3 linked regions of the Lepisosteus oculatus genome follow. The protein of the gene in region 1 interacts with the protein of each later gene in a pairwise test. Links are inferred from orthologs where the notes say so. Each region holds a gene or a part of one and is shown in the gene's direction. Other genes may lie near its edges.

The links. The genes of interacting proteins can lie anywhere in the genome.
Region 2: the proteins of nudt3b (region 1) and rplp1 interact in a two-hybrid assay, tested with the Homo sapiens proteins (2 studies listed by BioGRID and IntAct). The link is inferred for Lepisosteus oculatus from reciprocal best matches to the Homo sapiens genes NUDT3 and RPLP1.
Region 3: the proteins of nudt3b (region 1) and ankyrin repeat and SOCS box protein 13 interact in a two-hybrid assay, tested with the Homo sapiens proteins (2 studies listed by BioGRID and IntAct). The link is inferred for Lepisosteus oculatus from reciprocal best matches to the Homo sapiens genes NUDT3 and ASB13.

Annotation. Positions count from the first base shown.
Region 1 is NC_090700.1:29,595,458-29,603,253, forward strand, and holds the start of nudt3b (diphosphoinositol polyphosphate phosphohydrolase 1), read left to right. Parts: upstream 1-4,776; 5' UTR 4,777-4,998; coding exon 4,999-5,097; intron 5,098-7,478; coding exon 7,479-7,589; intron 7,590-7,796. Other genes in the region: suppressor of cytokine signaling 2, read right to left, coding at 277-556. UniProt on the Homo sapiens protein: Cleaves a beta-phosphate from the diphosphate groups in PP-InsP5 (diphosphoinositol pentakisphosphate) and [PP]2-InsP4 (bisdiphosphoinositol tetrakisphosphate), suggesting that it may play a role in signal transduction.
Region 2 is NC_090705.1:33,982,764-33,990,088, reverse strand, and holds the start of rplp1 (large ribosomal subunit protein P1), read left to right. Parts: upstream 1-4,323; 5' UTR 4,324-4,475; coding exon 4,476-4,547; intron 4,548-5,269; coding exon 5,270-5,344; intron 5,345-6,521; coding exon 6,522-6,630; intron 6,631-7,267; coding exon 7,268-7,325. Other genes in the region: prostate stem cell antigen-like, read left to right, coding at 334-450, 2,537-2,748. UniProt on the Homo sapiens protein: Plays an important role in the elongation step of protein synthesis.
Region 3 is NC_090702.1:43,654,282-43,661,376, forward strand, and holds the start of ankyrin repeat and SOCS box protein 13, read left to right. Parts: upstream 1-4,093; 5' UTR 4,094-4,201; coding exon 4,202-4,241; intron 4,242-6,371; coding exon 6,372-6,559; intron 6,560-6,984; coding exon 6,985-7,095. UniProt on the Homo sapiens protein: May be a substrate-recognition component of a SCF-like ECS (Elongin-Cullin-SOCS-box protein) E3 ubiquitin-protein ligase complex which mediates the ubiquitination and subsequent proteasomal degradation of target proteins.

The DNA of each region.
Region 1 (7,796 bases):
TGTGTTCGGTTTTTAAATGAGTTTTCTGAAGCAACATTGTTTAATATACTATAGGCATTTTATTAAAATAAATCTTAATCTGTATGATCGTTTCATAGGCTATATGTACTTTAAAAAAAAGTATAGTTTGTAGAAGCTAGCTAACAACAGAAGTTATTGCCACCGGTGTACGCATGCTCCAAACAAGACTACCGTTTAACTGCAAACCCAAAACACAGAGGTTAAAGGGCTGTCCGTCCATCTGTTTGTTGAAGATAAAAACAACCAAAAACTAACCAGACTCGTGGAGGTGAGACATGGCGTTCTCCACTCGAGTGAGCTCCTCTGTGGTTTCTCCCCGCTGTTGTTCGGATACCGAGTCCTTTAAACGGACGGGGATGAGCGATTTCTCCGGCAGCAGGCTGGGCACGATCATACGGTTCGCCTTCCCAGAGTCAACGGTGGGCTTAAGCGGGAGCCGAAGAGAGGTGGTGGTGGTGACCGCTCTCTCTCCCGCGGCCCACGGCGTCTCTGTGTCAGCCTCTGGAGTCTGCGAAACGCACTGTGTGTGCCCCATCCAAAATCTAAAAAAACAGGGAATTTACAGTTGAATTGCAAAGCTGAAAGTACATGCAAAACATGAATCAAGGAAGCTTTATTCTACAGTATTAGACTTGCAAATTTAATCAAACATGGACATATGAAAATCAAGATAAAAACTCACTACCTGATTAAAAATTAATGTATATACAGAAAGGACATTTTCGTTTTTTTGATCAGAATTCACACGACAATAACATTACATTTTTAACTGGCATTGCTGACCATATATGTAATGTGAAAACTTCAACTCTCAATTGCCTATTCATATTATGCACACATCTTCAGTTTTAGTTAAAAACATTTTTTTGCGTTTTGTAATATCTGCAATCAGCGTTTTATGAAGAAAAATGCAGGCATTCTAAAACTACGGCGTAAGAAGTTTTCCTACCAATAAACATAGTAGATTTACAACCCGTTAATTTTAAGATTTATTTTTACGATTATTTGCTTAATTTCATATTCAACAAAAGGTCTTAAAAGTAAAAAAAGAGTCATATCATGATCTTTATAACCGTAATTAGGTTGATCATTGACTGCTCAGAACAATAAGCAGTAATTAAACCACGGATATTTTAACCGAGGTCTTATAAGGTAATACCCCTTTCTGAGCTTCTCTGCCATTAGGAACATCATGCGGAAAAAATGACCGCAAACAATAGCGATCTTTTCACTAAGATATCAAGAATCATTTCGTAATATTCATTTTTTGTCTGATCTCCGTGAAAGGAAAGCGATGCAAAAGAATCGTATCGCAAAAGAAACACACAAGTAAATTAACAGCTAATTGATTTTCAAAACATGGTTTTCAAAAAACGAGGTCTTCTCAAATGACCTAATTTTCCATCTGAAAAATAAACACCTGATTAATTAACGATTCTATAGTGCGATTATGGTATACAGTACGTGTAAGCGACAGATTATTAATAATGTAATCGTGGTGTTTTCGTAAAATATTAATTTGAATTGTATTTCCTTTCCGATTGTAGCATTTGAATTTTGTCGTTTTAAAATTCAACGGGCTTATTAGTTAAAATAAAAAATGACCTATATTTTAATGCAGCTGATAAAGTAGTATTTTCCAAAAATAACCGACATTCTAAACAGCAAGCATACTTCTGGATAAGCGCCCCTTTGTTGAGCTCTTTCACAGTGAGCTATGATATTTTATTATATTACAGTAATATGTGATTATCATGCACTTTCACGTGAGGTTTCCTCTGTATCCGTCAGAGATTAATATTAAACACATTTTATATCATTGCTAATTGGTCGGTTAAATATCGACATGTCTACAAATTGTCGAGCGAACTGCAGCTGTGATCTTCGTTTATCGTCTTTAAAGAGCTGAAACGCACAAAAACTGAGGACGACGAACTCACCTCGCTCGGTTCACAGCCAGCAGAAACCAATGGGCTCTGGATCGGAACCCTGCAGTACCGTAGTCTCCAGTGCCTACTCTTCAGCTTGTCCCAGTTACACCTTAAAACGGCTGGGTTAACCCCTTCCACTCGGAGAACGAGTGAAGACCGAAGCGAAAGGCTAAAAGTTAGTGTAGTTCTTAAGGAACTGCGACCGTTTCATTTATTCCCAAATCATAACTGATATCGAGTCTTGACTCGCTGCTTACCCACTATTTAAAACAAAAATCAGTTTCCGACTAGTAGCATAAACAGCGTATCGGCCAGTCTGACAGTGTTACATCGAAATAAGCGCACTTTCTGTGAAAGCAAAGGAAAAGCAGGTTGGCAGCTCTCGTGTGTTGGATTCTGACTTGACACCTCTTCAGAGCATTTCTTTCACCGAGATTTCATTGTATTGCTCCAGTGATACGTCCTATTTGTAACCGTTTCTTTGTCTTTACAATCCCGTATATTCTTTCTGCGCTGAAGGCTGATCCTCGGCGGTGTGGGAATCAGAGATTTTCTGCGCTTCGTATTTTTCCCTATAAACCAGCGCTCCTCTTTCCAGGAACATTCCCAGAAAGGCGAGTCACGTGTGCACAGATGCGTTCTGGCGGAACTCCGCCAATCGGCAGCCGAGACGATGAGGTCATCGAGTGCATTTTTTTATCGCTATACAGTTCGGATGGAAAAAGCCTTGTACCTCTTTTCTGGTTCTTCTTAGAATAAAACTCATCCTGGGCTATACTCCAGCAAAACACGAGGTCATGGCATGTTTCTACAAGATATATTGTTTCCAGTAAGCCTCTCTATATAACCTTGAATCCATCTCACCTTTTGTACGGTTTCCACCAGATGGTTTATTTTCACTACAGACACAAAAAGGATCTATGCATACAAGAAAATCGAAAAATTGTGGCAGATATGCACACAAACTCACATTGTATGATCCGAATACTGTTACGCTACTATATATAGAAACCTAAACGAACAACGTCATCGAGGCTGAATTGATCACTATTCTTAAACCGAGCAATCATTTTCAGCCAAACACAAAGCTGTTAATTTTCAACAGAATTTTCAAAAGAGGCTAAAAAAGAACTGCGTCGCAGAGCAGTTTCCAAAACCCGTTTCAAACTTTTAAGATTTTTAGAGGATTATAGAAAACGTGCCACTATCAACTTTGTTGAACAGTATGATGACAGTTTGATAGATATTGCTTACGTAAGTCACGTTTCAGAACTTTTTTTTACTGTTTTGAAAAACGTTAACCATATAAACGATTGACAATTAATATCTATCATACATGAATTCAAATACAATCTTGAATGTGATATAGCTGTATTTTTTATTGCATACTATTTAGCGGCCTAATAGTGTATATAGGAAGATCTACATTTTGCTTTGTCTGGAACCAGCAGCTTGTAATTGACTAATTACTATAATTAATTAATACTGCATTTTATAACGTTGATGAATGCCCGCATCAGACTGAATCAAAAACAGAAAAATATTTTTCTACGGTAAACGTAACAAAACATTTAGCGCTTCCTCAATACCGAGAACCTCTCAAAAACACTTATAAAATGCTTCTTTTTCAAAACAACGTCCATCATTCTCACAAATGTATGCTGCATAATAAAAATGTTGTGCTAATGATATGCCGAAGAGCGAAAACGTCCAGGTTGAAGATTTACACATAGTACTGGGAAGTAACAGTACCAATAAACAGTCCCCTGCTTACTTGTTTTATCCCTGGTGTCAATCTTCAAACATCAGGTTTGTACCCTCAATTTGCAAAAGTGCAGTTTTCAGAAGTCTAATATTCCCCCCCGAGAACGTGTCGGTTTCGTTTGAAGAGATGGCGAACTGCGCCCCCGTGCGGTTGCATCAATCACACGACGAAGGCCCAACGCCAAATACCTCCCACCAAGAAAAAAACACCCTTGCAAATCTCGATTGTGCGGGCTTCACAAGACCATATATCAAGAGCGCAGTTTTCAGATAACCCCGATCCTTCTCTTCCGAATTGCCCGTTGTCGTTTTTTGTACCCAATACCGCAAAAATCGGAGATTCACAGAAGCCCAAAAGAGAACGCATTTGTCCGAGGAGAAATGGAAATCGAGTATTACTAGAGTAATTGATATCGACTCAAGTACGCCAAAATGTATACAGGTGTATAGCTTCACAGTGAATACAATGGGATTTATTTATTTCAGTAGTAATTTACAAACACAGAACAACATTATTTTATTTCGGATAAGTATAGCTCCAGAACACCGTTTTTTTGTATCGCATAGGTAATGATGTGCAAATAAAAGCTACAGACGTGCTTGGTTCGCAGATGTTGTCTGATTTTTACAGGAAACCTTGGGGTTGCTGCCGAGACGGTGCCCTCATCTTCAAATGGACAATTTTATACAATGTGATAAATCTAGTGACTTCATCCCCCACTGCAAACAAGAGAATAGACTAAACATTAATTATAATACCTACGGGAATTATATTAAATAAACGTGAATTGCCTAGACCAATTTTCCTCGTAAATTATGTGTCGCAGTCATAAATCACATAAAAGCCACATTGCCTCACGACCGCCAGCATCTTGTAAACTCGCAACAAAGAAACTTGCGTAGCCCTTTGCTTTTGTATGGCAAGGTTTACGAACTTTACGCAAGCAGTCATCCACATAGACTCGTCTAGTCCTGTTGCTTAACCGGCGTCATAAACGTAGTGGGCTGCTGCGTTGTTACGTTAGATCAGAGCGGAATTCGCGAAACGGATTAGGGAGAGTTTTCAGCGCTTGTGCGAGTGGTGAAGGGAAGGTTACGCGGTTTGCGCAGTGTTCTAATAATGGCGTCTGTGCCGAAGATGCGATCTGGTCTGAGAAAATGAAGCGGAGGAGAAGTTGTTTTTATTAATCAAAAGCCGGGGTTTCCTTCAGTGGGCTTTACGTCGAACGCAACGACGTTTCCAAGAGGTTCGGGTTTAAGTTTCGGTCTGTGGAGCCCCGAAATGATGAAGCTTAAGTCGAACCAGACCCGGACCTACGATGGGGATGGCTACAAAAAGCGGGCCGCCTGCCTGTGCTTCAGGAGCGAGAGCGAAGAGGAGGTAAGGCCGAGGATGCGGGGGTGTCGGGGGGGTGGGACTGGGCCTTGGGTGGGTGAGTGAGCACAGCGAGCCGAGGGCCCTGGGAATCGGGGAGAGAAAGACGGAGAGAAAGTGATTAGTAGAAAAGAGAGAAGTAAAGGGTGACGGGGGCTAACTAACAGCATGGGGAGGGAGGACAAGATCAAAACGCGGGGTCGAGAAGCCCAGGCAGCGCGTTAGAAAGGCACAGGTTGGGAAGGGGGGCAAGGGTATTCGATAGCCTCTGGTGTTTTGGCCCAGGTACAGGGGGCAGTATGTGCTTCTTGTATTCCAGACTGTCATCGCGCTGCACGGCTCCTTTTTAACTGCAATACCAAAGCCGACACTCAGTGCGCCTGCAAATACTAGTTCTTTGCATGTTGAGCGTCCAGAGCTCTTTGCAGGGCAGCTGTGTACCGCCTGTCTGGAGACGCAAGGCAGTCTGCAGCGACTGGGCGTGAGGCTCGCTTGTGCCCAGTTCTGTTCAGTGAAGGGGGAAAAAAAAGGAAGTGACTTGTTAAAGAAGTGTTTCACCAAACCCGTGAAATATTTCAGCCTCCGCGTATTCCTGGTACTCCGGGCGAGCCGGCACTGCCATTGTTTTCTGAAAACCCGAAAAGACATCAGAAAATAAAAATAGGATTTAGAGAGACGTTGGCAGGAGGGCACTGATGGAGCGCCAACAGACCACATACCAGTGCCTACATTTCAGCAGTGGGTCCATGCATGACGAGCGCTAAGGTGTGCTGGGGAAATGTAGTTCCGTTTCAAACCTCAGCCAAAAAGAATAAGGAATGTGAGTAAATAAGGGCTCTAGCTTTACAGACAAAAGGCTGAACATGAATTTGAGGGGAAAGAAGAGGAATATGTTCATGTTGGGGCTCACATTATTTCTCAAGTATCCATGATCAGACTCTGGGACAAAGGTCAAGGTTTGCCAGCTAAGGTGTAATCTTATCTGGGACAGGTTATGTGTTCTTCCAGTTCGTGTTCTGTAAGGAAATAGCGGGCTTCCGGGCAGTGTTATCTATATTGACTGTAATCGGGGGCATCCAAGGGGTTCTCGCATTTGAAATGTCCCTTTGCTTTGCTATTCATTTAAAAATATACAGTGCAAAATAGATGTTTGCAAAATATCTGCTTGTTTCAGCATTTAACACTTAGTTTGATGAAATGTAGATCTAAACACGATTAAACCGAATCCAGCTTTGTTAGTACTCCCCGCGAAGGAGTACCAACGTTTCATCCAAATCAGGGTCACGGGGGAGCTGGAGTCTATCCTGGCAAGCAGCAGGCACAAGGCAGGGTACACCCTGGGCACAACAGCACATCACAGGACACAACAACAGACACAAACATGCTCACACACACCAGAGCCAGTTTCCCCAGAAGCCAAATTAACTTACCAGCACATCTTCGGACTGTTGGAGGAAACCCATGAGAATTGAACCCAGGGCCCCAGCACTCTGAGGCTGCACCATGCGAGTATTCACTCCCCTAAACTTAATTATCAAGGCCATCTTTGTAAATGACACAAAAATGTCTGAAAACATTAACTTGAACTTGAACTTTATTGCCATATGTAACCGGTACTGGTACAATGGAATTCTTACTCACAGAAAGTCTCTCGATTGTAAAACAAGTGTAAAAAACAAAACAAAGTGCAAACAGTGCATCAAGACAATGTACAAACCAACAATAGACAATGTGCAAGTAAACATGCAGACAGTTTGAATGTAAACAATACAGACGTGTACACAATGACTGGAGACGTACAATAAATAAATTACAATGAGGTAGATGGTGATGGTGTAGGTGTGGTCCGAGGGGGATGGCTAAATGTGTTCGCCAGTCTCACTGCTTGTGGATAGAAGCTATGATTGGTATGTCCTAGGAGTATGTTAGAGCAGGGCTGTTTACCCTGGTGTCCTGGTATCAATCCACTCTGGGCTCGCTCACTCGGGTCTTGCTAAAGTTCCCCTTCTGTTCATGTAAGTCGTGTCTCCCCTCTGCAGCTGATCTGAGGATCTGGGGCTGCACTTCAGTAGTGGATACCACGGGGGGCCCCCCTCTTGTGTGTGAAGTGCTTTGGGGTCTTTTGAGATGAAACGTGCTACACAAATACTAGCAATTTGAAAAAGCAGTTTTTAGATCAGATGCCGACCCTTACTCCAGCTCTGTGGATCAGAGTTCAGCCATGGTAAGTTAAACCCAGCAGTGACGGACATTGCCTTACTCATGACGTGCTTGAAGTAAAACATCTCCGGGTGTGAGGTGACTGAGTATTTAGGCTGTGTGGGAAGGGTGTGGAGTACCTCTTTCTGTCCCATTGAGGGTGGCTAAGGGGAATGTCTGTATTGCAGGTGTTGCTGGTGAGTAGCAGCCGGCATCCGGATAAGTGGATTGTTCCCGGAGGAGGGATGGAGCCAGAAGAAGAGCCCAGCGTAGCCGCTGTGCGGGAAGTGTGTGAGGAGGTATGGACCTGTGATTTCCGTGCGGTTTCATAAAGCACTCATTTGTTTTCACAGCCGTGTGCCATTCTTAAAAAAAACAACAAAACAAAGTATTGCCTACGTGCGACAGGAGGTGCCTTGTTTTCTTAAAAACTGGACTTTGAAAGCATTTGCCTTTTTGTTTGTCTGGCTTTCCTTGTTTTCGTCCACACATGCTAAAATAAAACC
Region 2 (7,325 bases), on another chromosome or scaffold:
GTTTCCCAATCATTTAACACAAATGGGTTATTTTCATAGTCAGTGTCATAGTAACTTCTGATTACATTCATTAAAATTATGAAGAGGCAAAATGCCATGGACCACACACTGTTCAGATTTGTCTCAGATTTGTTAATAACAAATAAGCTAATTTATTTTGTGGTTTTATTTCAGAGACTTTACCACCCCTATTAATTGTACTGTTTAAAAAAAAGAGTGAGAATCTGAATTTTGTCTTTATTTGGTGCACCTACACAATAGTACATAATTATTACAACTGCCTCACTCGTAACTGGCACTAGTCAATGAAAACACCATTTTCCTTTTTCTCAGTTGTTGCATTAGACTGCTATGTGTGTCCATCGACATCTACCAATGAAGATTGCAACAAGAACACACAGAGCTGTCAGGCCCCCCTGGACACATGCATGACAACTGTAGTCACTTCAGGTGAGAAACTGAGACCGATCAGTAGACAGTGCACACGCCTTTCTCCTCCTGCAGGATGGCCAGATGTAATCATGTCAATAATCCCGCTTACCTGCTTATAAACTGGGTAACAAACACCAAGCCTCAGCAACTTGTTAAAATCTGGCTTCTCCTTTGTTTATTAGGTGTTTCTTATAACAAGGATCGAGTGCAGCGATCGCCGATGATAAGCGATATTTAAGATGATCTATGATACATATGATGAACGATACATAATAAACACCTGGCTTATAAGAAACACCTATGTTTTAAGAAGAAACATCTACAGATTTAAAAAATAAAGCTCTGCACGGCAATAGCAAAGTTTATGCATTTACACGGCACTTTAGCTGTAGGGGAGATGGTTTCCTTTAAGAGAAATTTTGATAAAATTCTGTCCCAAAGGGTTACAAAATAATCTGAGGTGTGAGTAATATTCTGTTTACCATTTCTGATGTACAAATTTCATTCCCACCATATTTATTTACGTGATATACATTCTTGATTGAATCTCCTTACAAAAATAATTCCCAATACTGTGCCCTGTGACCAACACACCTCTTGGTTTTTGTTCCAGCCAAGTTGTTACAGTATTGAATTTGTTATTGACTTAATAATGGGATGAACTGTGTGACGGTTTGCAGATTTTAACCCTACTGGAGGCAGCCTTTTAACCATTGCATTTCAAACAAATCCCAAACTCTTGAGGCGAAAAAGTACTTGCAAATATCCCAAGCAAAGCAGCTTATTAATTCAATTAAAGCTTCAGGTAGGTAACTAAGCTCAGCTGGAATGAAACCCTGGAGGTCTGTAGGCCTCTTCAGGCCCAGATTTTGGGACCCCTGACCGAAAGCCTGGTCTCTGGTTAGTGGATTTTCATTTGACGTGCTTGATAATTCAGTTTTGTCTCTTTTCAACTGAGACTTGGACGCGAGAATTCAAATTTCCTAACAGTTAGAACTGTGTTCAATATAGTTTGGTCGGAACATGAAGGACCGACTGGACATTAATGGGTAATAAGAGTGTCTGCACTATTAAATGTTGAATGGTTGCTCATGTAAGTTGCCTGGCACATTACAAAAATGAAAAAGAAAACAAAACAACAGCTGCTTAAGCCAGAGCACTAAGTAGAGTGGCCATTCAGCTTCACGTAAAAGTAATGATGTGAGAGAATTAAGGGTTTATACATTTAGTCTCAATTCGGTTTACTTATTTTCTGAATACAATTGCATTGATAGTTTATGAATCTGTGAGGAATGACCCCTGGACAGAGCCTTGCTACTGGAGTACCTGGTAAAAAGTATCCCACTGATGATAATATGTCATTTTGCATCCCACCATCCCGGTCACAAACTGTTCTGCCCCCTTGCGCTTTGGCAAGCAGTGCCACACTACTGAAGCACGGACCACTAGACTCAAGAACAGCTTCTATCCCACTGTAGTACGCATCCTCAACAGCCGACTGCAATGCCTCAGACTCTACGCCCATCTGCATGTGCACTTTTTGCATTGGTCTGCCATGTTTTTTTTTCACTACTACATATTTATGGTTCCTGTTCTTGTCATTGATTGTGTTTGTGATGTGCTACATTGTGTGGTGCAGTCTGTTGTACTGTATGTCCTGAGAGAGAGGATACGACCCATGAATAAGAATTCCAATGTTCATAGGGCAATAAACTCCTCTACTCTGCTACTCTCTCTCTCTACTCTACTTCTAGTAAATATACAAGTAATAGGTTTATTCCATGCTGAAAAAAAGAAGAAAGACAATAAAATGATTCGGCTGTGGAGCCTTCTTCAGGTGTGAGAAAGACAAGCATTACCTTTGCTGACTGCCTTATCTTTCTCACACCTGAAGAAGGCTCCACAGCCAAAACGTTGTTTTCTTTCTTCTTTTTTTCAGCATGGAATAAACCTATTACTTGTTCCTTTGCAGCCTACGCATGCTGACGCAGCTCCCCACCTGAACTACTTTTAGTGGATATTTCAAGCTACGAAACTTCAGAACTACTTTCTCTCTTTTTTTTTTTTGTTTTGCCACGATTAAACTCTCTCTCTGCGTCTGTAGGCAACATCAAGGCCATTGTAAAAGCGTGCATGAGCAAGACCACCTGCTCTGCGGCCGCGTCCGGTTCCAGTGTGGACTCGTCTGGGAACCGCAACCAGGTGACCTGCTGCCAGACGAACCTGTGCAACGCCAATGGCTCCACCACTGCCAGGCTCAGCTCTCTGCTGCTGGCCCTGCCCCTGAGCTCACTGTTCCTCCTGAGCAAAACCTGACAGCAGAGAGCAGGCACCTGAGCTCAGACTGCCTGCAGTACGATAACCCCCGAGCTACTGTTTTAACTCCATATTTGAAGCCAAAAAAATGCTATTCGGTGTCACGTAAATTAACAAGTCATTAGATGATCTATTAATAGCTGCAATTGTGCAGCAGGATGTTGAAAGACCCTACAGCTCTGTCTCTATTCCATCACTATGTCTGAGTACAACAGAGAAAAGTGCTTGTCTAATTGTAGTTAAAAAGATTTTTCTGAGTGTTTCATAAAATAAACCATGTTAACTATTATTTCCTATTCCTGATCTTATGTTTAGATGAACTGCTTACACAAAGAGAAACATGGAAAGATTAAAACCAGGAGCAGTAGATGACTAACACACTTTGTAAAATTGATATGTATGATAAGTGACAACAAAACATTGAAAATCTGAACTTGACTACAAGACTGAATTATTTTCTTTTTTCCCCCAACTCACCTGTTTATTGGTACATGAAGATTCCCTTGGTCAGGGAGTGTGTTTCGTTCCAGTTAATGACCTGAATCAAGTTACTCAGGGATTAATTGGACTAATTTGCTAACATCTCCCAGCTCTTCAGGTACTGATGCTATGAAGAGAACCAGCAGACACAAAAGTCATTCTTGGACTCGGGATCCCCTCCGCGGATGTTAACATGGCCTTTACTTCAGGGACGTTGTCGCATGAAACACCCAATCGGATAACTTTTATTTTTCTAAATTAAACACCCATCTTTTCTAACACACACACACACTAGAAACGTCGACGGTGGCAACCACTTGAATCCTGAGCTCTCCTTTTACAATACAACTGTAACTGTAATCCTTTAGCATTTTGCTTCCGTCCCAACTTATGAAATGCAAACATTCGCTGGATTCAAACACACCGCGTTACGAAATAAAATTAACGCATATAGCGAAGAAATCATTTCAAATGGATAGGGTTGCCCTCGAACAGTTCGGTTTCTGATTTAAAAGTCCTTGTTTGAATATTAACGTTACATCAGCCAGTGCCCAAATCTAACAGAGGATCACTTGGAGGCACGACCAGGAGGAGTGAAGGTGGGGGACAGGGAGGAGTCTGATCGGCTGAAAATGTGTACATATTGACACATATACACAACTTACTAGCGTTTTAACCCTGGTGCCCTGGTTAGTACGGAGACGTGGCACCCATCCCCAATAAGGATCCCCCAGTTAAACCAAAAAACAAAGTAAACCATGCAGGCCGTAAGAAAATCTGTCTAAAATCAGAAAATATTACACGCATCCGAAGTACCAAAGGATCTAATAATGTAAGCTTCATCAATGTAGATGGACTAAAAAAACCCAGATCCGACACTATTGTAAAAGTGTTGATTTTATACACTACTTTACACGATTTTCCAAAGAAAAAAAATCCATATTTGTGTACGGGTAACTTCTCAACAACCTCAGAAACACCAACTTAAAAACCACCAGCCCGCAGTCCTGCACAAGCGCACACGTGTGGCCCCGCTGTCTTTCTCCGCCCAAGGCTAGCGTGACGTCACATTCACTTCAAATAGCTAATCCCCGCCCTTCTACTTCCTCTTTCCGCTCCCGCTGAGCCAGTACGTGTGGTGCCTAAGGTGCTCGGTCCTTCATCTGAAGCTAAGGCCTCTGAATCCGGCGACTAGCACTCCTTTATTTAGGCATCCAACGCCAAAAACCCTACCACCTTCGAGAATAATGGCTTCCGTGTCCGAACTCGCCTGTATTTACTCGGCTCTCATCCTCCACGATGATGAAGTCACCGTCACAGTAAGTCTCCCCCGGCCGCTGTCAGACGGGTCCAACTCAACATGGCGGAGAGCCGGAAAGTGTTTCATGTGGTCCACTGCCTTCGCACGACAGCTTCGGTGTCGGCTTGTGTTAGCGGTGCATGCTTTAAAGTGCTGACATATGTTCATTTTGGGTCTCGGATTGTACAAGTCCCAATCGCTTTGTGGCTTGTAAAAATGTCACTTGACTGCTTGGCGTCAGTGTTTTTTTACAAGCCGTAGTTAAATCACCCATGTACTATAAAGTGCAGTGATATTACAGTTGGCTCCTCCGTGAGTGGAGAGGATTAAACCTTTAGTTTAAAGATTTAAATGAACATTCATGGTTGTTTTCATTACTTTGCTTGTGGAGCACCTGGCCTGCACCTTGGGCCCTACTGTTATACTGCTGGACACGTGTTTTCTCCCAGGGAGCTGCAAGAGATCCTGTATTATAGGAGTAGTTTTTGTCCAGTATAACTGTTCTAGATGCACGTGTTCCAGCCCGTTATGATTTTCTTAAATTGCGATCACCAGCATTAAACTCTGCCTAGATGATGCCAGTACAGTCGGCGCCAGATGAGAGCAATGTGCTTTTAACGGTGTTGAATGAAACGTGCAGTTTCGCTTCCTGTGATGTTACTGTCCAGTATAAATCCCACCTGCTGCGTGCTTCGGGTGGACGTGCTGATGTGAAGCCTCACTCGGTCCCTGTCTCTGCAGGAGGACAAGCTCAACGCCCTCATCAAGGCGGCCGGAGTGACAGTGGAGCCCTTCTGGCCTGGTCTGTTTGCCAAGGTGAGCTACTGTACTGTCTCACCCTGCTGCTTCTTTAACACCTTTAACATTTTATTGGCTTTTTCCCCTCAGACTGGGGGAAAAGCCCCTTTTTCTTACACACACAGTAGACACACACATGCACTTCTTTTAAAGAATTCTTTTTACCTGTGCTCTTTAAAGTTGGGTTAATTCTTAAACACCAAAGTTATTGAAAGTTAGTCTGTTTCATGCAGATTACTGTTTACAGTTGAATTGACACTAATTACATCATTAATGCATCTTGAGGTTTTTTCAGATGAAGATTACATTAATGAAAAAGATGGATGAAATCTGTACAGTGATCAAAGTGGTGCATTTATGAGGATTTCTAATGTCAATATTAGTGAAGTTTAAGATTAAGACACAGACAGGAGCTGTTGCGTGTCAACAGGAAGAATACATGACAACTAACATTGAACAACTTTTAAATGGCCAATTACTTTCGATAGCTTTTGTATAGGAAGCATATTCAATCTTGGAGTTTAGAGTATGGCAGTTCACGTGGTAGAATCCTTTTTCTCAAGAGCCTTTTACTTCAAACCCAAGCTCATTGAATGGGTATCTGCTTTGATGTCTAATATAAAAAGAATAGATTGTGGCAGAATTAATGGTGCTGTAGGTTTTTTGTTTAAACTATTGGGGAAATGCTTTTCTCATCATGACAAACTGCAAACTGAAGCTCAGGTGACTGAAACCGGGCTCAATAAAGGCAGTGTGAGCAAGGGTCTCTAGTCCTGGGCATGGATCATCTGAAGGTTTTCTGCAATCTGTGAAAAGCACCAACACCTAAAGAGCTTGGGGAAATTGCTAATATAATTCAGTTTAGCCAGAAGATTGAGATCTGGGTGTGATGATTAGTGGTAGAAAGTGAGTTGTCATGAAAACCTGTGGACAACAGCCCTTCAGAGCTGGTATTGGAGATCCCCTGGATACAGTCTAGTGTGAGCAGGTAATGTAATATTTCATTGACCTGCTGGAGGAGGTCATGAGACACGGCTGACGATTTTTTCCGAATGAAATATCACAGTGCCCTGGGGGGGGGTGGGAGGTACGTTCGAACCCGGTTCGCCGTTTCGGTCCCCGCTCTTCCCCGGCCGAGGGGCCAGCCCGCGGGCGACGCCTGCGCTCCTCTCACCTCGCCTCTCCTCCGTTCCAGGCCCTGGCCAACGTGGACATCGGCAGCCTGATCTGCAGCGTCGGTGCCGGCGGAGGGGCCCCCGCTGCTGCCGCCGCCGCCACCGGAGCGCCCGCCGCCGCCGCCCCAGGTAAGGACCCCCGCCGGGAGAAACCGGCTGCCCCTGCCCACCCAGAGAAAAGTTTCGTAGCTCTTTCTTGGGAAGCAGGAGTGTTTATCTTTACGGAAGGTGGCTCGCACTGTTACAGGATGACTCGACGATGGGGGGTCTTGCGGAATACAGTTTACCCCCCGAGTACTTGTGTTGTTTTTTTTTAAAACTACCTGAACGTCAAGAAATGTTACAGATGAGAGGAGATGTTTCGGCCAGCTAGGCTCGGAACTAGTTGTTCCACAGATCTCCTGCAGTCGCTTTGTGAAAGAAGCCAGGTTATCGGCTTCAGTCACACGGCTGAGTAGTTGGCGCCTTCGTCGCACAGCCTTCTGGGTAAATAAGAGCCTGCTTTTGTCATCAAGGTTTTTCGGACTGAAATTTAGGCTTTAGGCAGTTCCATGATGTGATTTATGGGTGTCTTTACCAGGTAACTTACAGATAAATGATATTCTCAATTACATATTCTATAGTAAGCCTTTGAAGAAATGTTAAGCGTACCTGTCATGCTTTCCTGCCATGATGTGTAAATGAAGGGTCCCCTGGAATGGGAGAGTCGGGATTTTGTCATTCCTGCTGCGCTGACTGTAATTAACTGGGACTTTCCTCGTTACAGCTGAAAAGGAGGAGAAGAAAGAAGAGAAGAAGGAAGAGTCTGAGGAGTCTGACGATGA
Region 3 (7,095 bases), on another chromosome or scaffold:
TTACTTTGCTACCTCAGGACCTGGGCAGCTTGTCATCATTGACGGAACCATGAATTTGGCATTGTATCAGCAATTTCTGGAGGAGAATCTCTGCCATTCGTCAGCTGAAGGTGAATGCAAAGTGTCATACAGCAAGACGATCTTAAACACACAAGCAGATCTACAATAGAATGGCTGAAGGAGATTGTGTTTAGCATTTTAGGGAGTGCAAGTCAAGGTCTGGACCTAATAGTTATGTTGAATGGTTATGGCAGGACCTTGAGAGGTATCACTTCCGTGGTAAATAATTGAGTGACTAATTCAATTAATACATTAACCTTTTCACTTTCATTAAAAGCAGTATAGATTTCCCATTATCATCTCTGAGTCACTTTAATCCATCCTTTACTGTTACCATGTCCTTTATTACTACGTTTTATTATTCTTTTGCTGTTGTAACACTGAGAAGAGATGTTATCAATTATTTTATCCTCTGTTGCAATTTCTGGCTTTTCAAATATCTTTTAGTATCTATGATGACTTCATTTCTATAAATGTCCTTTTTTAATGTTTTTGTTGTAGTTTTCCTAGATTGCTAAAACAATTTGCAACTGTGACTCACATCATCAAAACTAAAATGAGCAAAACAGAAACATTTCTTTTTGTAAAACTAAGTAATCTATCATTGCTTTCCCAGAAAATCCAAATGTCAGTCACCTCTTGTGGTAAACAATAAAAATGATGCTCTACGAATGACATAAAAATCAAGTAGAAATATACGGTCAAACAAAACTCATTTTTTCCCAGTTGATAATAATTACTCCCACGTGGGATTACTCCCATATGTATTACACACATGCAAGTAATCTTAAGCTAATTGTTAAAATATCACTCAGTTCATAATTGCACATGAAGAGGGTCACTGTTCAGTTGGAGATGGATGGTCAAAAGAGGAGGAAGAGGGGTACCACAACCCTAGGGGTGAAGAGGTGGAGGAAGACTGCAGAGAGTTGAGGTGCCAAAAAGAAATATTAATGGGCACTGTTGATCCTGGTCGTTCACTGCGTGAACCAGTGGCCAGGCCAGAGGCGTGTTCAGCTGTAGCATCAATTATTGGACTTGAGAATAGGTAAGAGATCGTATACTGTATAAACTTGATGGACAGTAATAAATTAGTAAATAAAATCCATTTTTGGAGTTTTTTCTCTTCTGAAATTTATGGAGTCATTTTTTGTCCAGTAGAAATCTATTTTTTTAATTTATAGAACTGACAGAAAACCCTGTCCTGGTGGTCAAGGCAAGGTTTTCAATGTTGAACAGGAGGCAGCAATTGTTGACCTGGTGCCTGCAAACAATGCCATGTTGGGTTTTTTTCAAAATCAACTTTATTGCACAAGATACATTAATCGTGCAATGAGTACATACTCTCGCAAAGCATAAACTCTCTAGTATGTTATAGTAAAGTTCTTAAAGGTGTTTCTCCTTTTTCAATCTGTGCACGTGGTTGCTGGGGCTTGATTTGCACAAAAAGAGTCCCTCCGAGACCTACCACTTGCTGTTGTCCGTCTCTTTTCCCTGTCCTGGAACTGAAACTGCAGTTGCCCAGTTCTCTGCAGGAGCTCAAATGAACAGGTTTTTCCTCCTTTCTCCCTATACAGGGCCCACAGTCCCTTCCAGCACTCCTTTGGTAACATTGCACTTCATTCTCCCTCTGAGGTTTGCAAGCATCCTCTCCTCCAGCTCCCTCGCTTCCCACTCTGTGCTGGAGAAGTGTTCCTCATGTTCCACAGTCCTTGTTTTATTAGGAACACTAGCAGCCATAGCAGGTATTGTGTCCCTTTTGTCTATTCCAATCGGGCCAGCCCCAGCAGTTTATACTGGCAGCTTAGCTTCGTTCCCGCTCCCAGGAGTATTGTCCATTCTGACCCATGCTGCTTTGGTGAAGAAACAGCTCCAGGACACTTTCTCCGGCATCTCCTCGAAAAATGTGTCCCAGGGGAATGTGGGTTCCTGGTGAGCGAGTGTCTGTAGCGGACCTCTCTGATTGCCAGCCTCTGGTACACGTCCATCCAGTTAAAGTCTTTTAACTTTTTGTTGAGTTCCTTTGGCTGCGTCCTTTCCCAGACTTGTCTGAGTACCTGCAGCCACTCTCTGGCAACCAGTTGGCCTCTCACCTCTTTGTACAGGGCCCTGTGGCTGGTGCAGAGCTCTGGTTGTCTCATGGTCTCTCGCCTCCGGATCCATTTGACAGGGTGGGTGTAGGTCTCCAGTCGCTTTTCCGCTTTTGGTTCTGTGTTTGTCACTGGATCAGGTGCCTCATAGGGAAGGAGAACCACAACCTGATGAAGTACTGGTACCTGTGGCTGAGCGAATCTCGCAACACCTGATAGAGGTTGCAGAAAAAGATGCAGTCGAGTTTTAGGGGGAAATCCAGCACGTCTCTCCCCCCTTCCTCGACCACCTGATGCATCCAGTTTCTTGTGACGTGCTCGTACCTGCCACTCTAGACAAACTTGAAGACCACTCCTTGCATCTTGCAAACAATTCCATATTCCTTTAATAGGCTTCTGGGAAATCTGGCCCTAGGTGTGATTGAGTATGGGTTGGTGTGTCTGCTCTCCGATGGACTGGTGTCCTGGCCAGGGTGTACCCTGCCTTGTGCCTGCTGCTTTCCAGGATAGGCTCCAGCTCCCTCGTGACCTACCTCGTGTAAATATCTTTATCCTTTCCCCTAGTAATAATTCTTTACACTTATATAGCGCTTTTCTGGACAATCCTCTCTAAAGGGCTTTACAGACTCCCCAACACCACTAATGTGCAGCTCCCACCTGGATGATGCGACGGCAGCCATAGTGCACCAGTCTGCTCACCACACATCAGCTGTTAGGGGGGAAGGGAACAGTATGAAGCCAATTCATACATGGGGATTATTAGGAGGCCATGATCAGTAAAGACCGATGGGAAAGTTTGGCCAGGACACCCCTACTCTTTTAAAAAAAACACTCTGGGATTTTTAATGACCACAGAGAGTCAGGACCTCGGTTTTACATTTCATCTGAAGGACAGCAACACGAAGCACGAAGACAGAAAGAAAGAAGATGCCCCCTGCTTTAATAGAGGGGAGGCTCGATTGGGTGAGCCTTGAGGGGAAAGGTTAGGGGTCACTGGATCAGTCCACTCCAGGGGGGTGGGGAGGTGAGCAGATTTCTACAGTATGTCATTGTTTTCCATCAGTCGTATAACAATAGGATTAAATAATGCATGAAGTGGAGTTTTATCAATGCCTTTTACTGCTTTAACATGCTGATCAGCGGGATCCGCCTGATTGATCTCTCTGTTGCCTATTCTTTTTTGAGAGACAGTGTGATTGAAGTAAAAACACCCACATCATTCTTATACATCAAGGTCTTTATATAAACATTTAATAGCGTTCAGGACTTACTGGGTTGTTTGTTTAGGTAAGGAAATGTCACAAGTGATGTTCTACAAGATTTAACATGAACATGCATTCCATAGCAAAAGCAAATGACCGTGTTAAGCACATTTTGAATAAGCAGTTTATATAATTGGTGTATATATATATTATGGCGACAGTCTGTATAAAACATTACCAGTAACAATCCGGGGGCCGTTTGTTCATGTCATTATAAACACGAGTAGTGAAATTTGAATGTATATGGAAAACAACAACCAAGCACTTTGCAATACGTTAGACATACCCTCGTCTAGAACCTTAAAATTAATGTGACACAAATTTATTTTTACGCTCGACGGAGAGCTTTAAAGTGATTACTTAAAGGTCTACTTCATAGTATTCACTGACCCCTGCCTTTCCCCATTCATATTTTGTTTCCCATATTGCCAGCTGTGCATATTTGCCAGCTCGCAAATCTATATTGTGTTTTATTTTCAAATCGTCAATAGGATAGTATCGGCAAATATTAAAAATATTTTTTGCATGTGCAAAACATTTCAGTTTGGAAACGTCTTGTCTTGCCAAATTAAAAAGGTTCATTTAGCAACAGTAGACGCCTGAAAATGTTCAAACTACTATTCCCATGAAGCCTTTGTGCACATTGTATCCTGTAACCCTTGACTTTGACGATTCAAAATAGTCGGACCACGTGATTCTTTACCATCAGTGTATAAACAGCTTTGTATGTATATTATACTAAAATAGTTTATTGTTTGGTTTTGTGCATAGCGGTAAAAGAACGCGTTAATGGAAACCAGCACGGCAAGAGTGAACATAGGAGACATTGGTGAGTTACACAGATCTGGACTAGAGTTCAGCTGTTCTGCTGTCCAATTTGAAAAACACACACCAGCTACCTGATTCCAATACATGCGTGCCTGTATAGACTCGGAGACCTTGTTTTGGGAACATGGGTTGCTTGTGATAGTCAGGAAGTAGTTCAATCTTATTATCTGCTAAGAACAACTACAACACTCAAGTAAAATATTATCCAGCTGTGTTTTTTTACTGCTTTAGGCAAGGATTAGGAATTCATACAGACGTGTATGTTACAGTAGTATTACAGTATGTGTGAAGACAGTTAATGTTCTATCTCGAAACGGTGTTATTGTATCAAAAGTGACACAGTCAAAGGTGTAATAAAAATAAGGCAGTTTAGCTTAATTGCATCACGATATACGCTTGAGAAAAGGCAGTCCGTGTGACGTTATGCAGAGTGCAATGGCTTGTTTACAAGGACAAGCTGTAAAACCGGTTGCACAAGATCTTAATATCTAGTTACAGGTTGTGAACCATGTCAGTGTGCTACTTCATGATAACAACTTGTAATGCCTGTGGCAATCTCAGGCACATCACTAGGTGCTGATAATGTTCCTAAGAGTAACATGTAATGGTGCCTCAGTTTGCAAGGTTATGATTCTGGTTTGTAAATGTTGTTTAAGTCAGTTAGGAACAACGTCAGAGCAAGATCGTAGTACCACTAATCTTGCCTCCAAAAGAACTGCTAGTAGTGACAAAATTATATCCGGCTTCTTCAGTAGGATACCACTGGCAACAATTTACTAAAGCACAGGTGATCATTGATCAGAAGCTGCTATTGCCATAACAGTTCAGGTGGGTAGCTGCATCAGCATGTGTAGGCTGTAAAGGAACAAGTAATAGGTTCATTCCATGCTGAAAAGAGAGGAAAGAAAACACAAAGTTTCGGCCATGGAGCCTTCTTCGGGTGTGAGAAAGACAGGGCAGTAAGCAAAGATAATGTAGCAGGAGAACAAAAGCTGGGAGAGAGGAGGGGCCGCAGGCAGGATCAGGGGAAAGACAGAGTGGCCAGTCAGGATAGGTGAGGAGAGGTGTGAAATGAAAACAACAATGAATAGAGAGAATTTAGAAGAAAATTAGTCTGTTGTTGGGAGAGGGGAAAAGGTGTGATCCTAACTGCAGGATAATTTTAGTTTCAGTAGTCTTTCTGATGTGGGAGTTAGGAAAACCATCTTTGAGAACACAGATGGAGAGATTAGTGTGATCATGGCTGTCAGAGGTGAAATGAGAAACAATAGCCTCGGAGAAATCTCTAATCTTCACAGCCCTAACATGTTCTCTGAAGCGATCTTGGAGTCTCCTTCCTGTTTCTCCAATGTAGATGCCTGGGCATTTACTGCAAGAGATACAGTAAACAAGGTTGCTGGAGGTACAAGATGTCATCTGAGTGATCCGGAATTGTCCTGAGGGGCCTTGAATAAGTGTGGTGTTAGATATGTAAGGCTGAAATATTGCCATAATAGTGTAACCACACTAGAGAAAGACCTGTAGAATAATGACAAAATTTGAATTTGTATTTTTAATTTGTTAAATTATATTGGGCTGAAATGTCCAATATTAGCTAACTTTAATTTAAGAATGCACTTTTATTTGTTTACTCAAATGTCTGTAAGCTGCTGTGTTAAGCTGGAGTTTTCAGTACTCAGTTCTTTTTTTATTTTACGTGCAAAAGGTTAAATTGAGAGCAACAGTCAACATTATTGACACCTGAAGAAGGCTCCACGGCCGAAACGTTGTGTTCTCTTTCTTCTTTTTTTCAGCATGGAATAAACCTATTACTTGTTCCTTTGCAGTCAACATTATTGTACATTTTTTAAAATTTTACAGACACAATATAATAAATGAGGTTTTTATCAAGAACAAATTTCCTGAATTCTACATTCCAACACTTAAGCCTGAAAATTGACCTTGAGTAGCCTGGTTTTGGGAGAGCCTGTCACATTCTGTATATTTGAGATCAGTAGAAGTAAGAGGTACAGTTTTCAGCCCATCTTGCTCATCTGGGTGTTAGTAACTAATTAATCTGAGCATCTTCTCTATTCTTTTCAAGAATTGCTAGCTTATTTGCTTGCCTTATTGCTTTTGCCTTTGCCCATAGGGTTCTGGGCTGATCGAACCGCAGTGCACGAGGCAGCCAGCCATGGGCAGGTCCTGCAGCTGAAGCAGCTAATCGAGAGCGGAGCCTGTGTGAACGTAGTCACCGTCGACTCCATCACGCCACTTCATGAAGCCTGCCTGCAAGGCCAGACTCACTGTGTCCGGTTACTGCTGGCAGCAGGTGCACAGGTGAGACTTAATCTTGATATTATATTGCCACACGTAGAATAATTAAAGGTTCACTGCATTTTACCTCTTGTCAAATCTGGCATAAGGAGGTCTACAGCATTATTTAGATGGTAAATAAAGGTATATATCTGGATGCAGTGAGAACATGTATTGTATCAGCTTTGTTAAATATTATTTTATTTACGTTTGTTATGAAAAAATGTTTTGAACAGTTGTTAGTGGTCTTCACATCACCATATGCAAAATTTTTGCCAGTTCCGTTTCCGAAGTACTTTTTGTAGTGACACTGTGAAACAAACAAGCAACGGATCAGCAAACATAGTCTAAAAGTGTTGAAGGATGCCAACTGATATTGAAATATCAATTCCGCATGCAGCGATTTCAGGAGAATTGGATTGATTGCGGTGTGATGTTTGTGTTTTTAGGTTGATGCAAGAAACATCGATGGCAGTACTCCTTTGTGTGACGCCTGTGCCGCTGGAAGTATAGAGTGCGTGAAGTTACTTTTAGAACATGGAGCCAAAGTAAATCCTGCT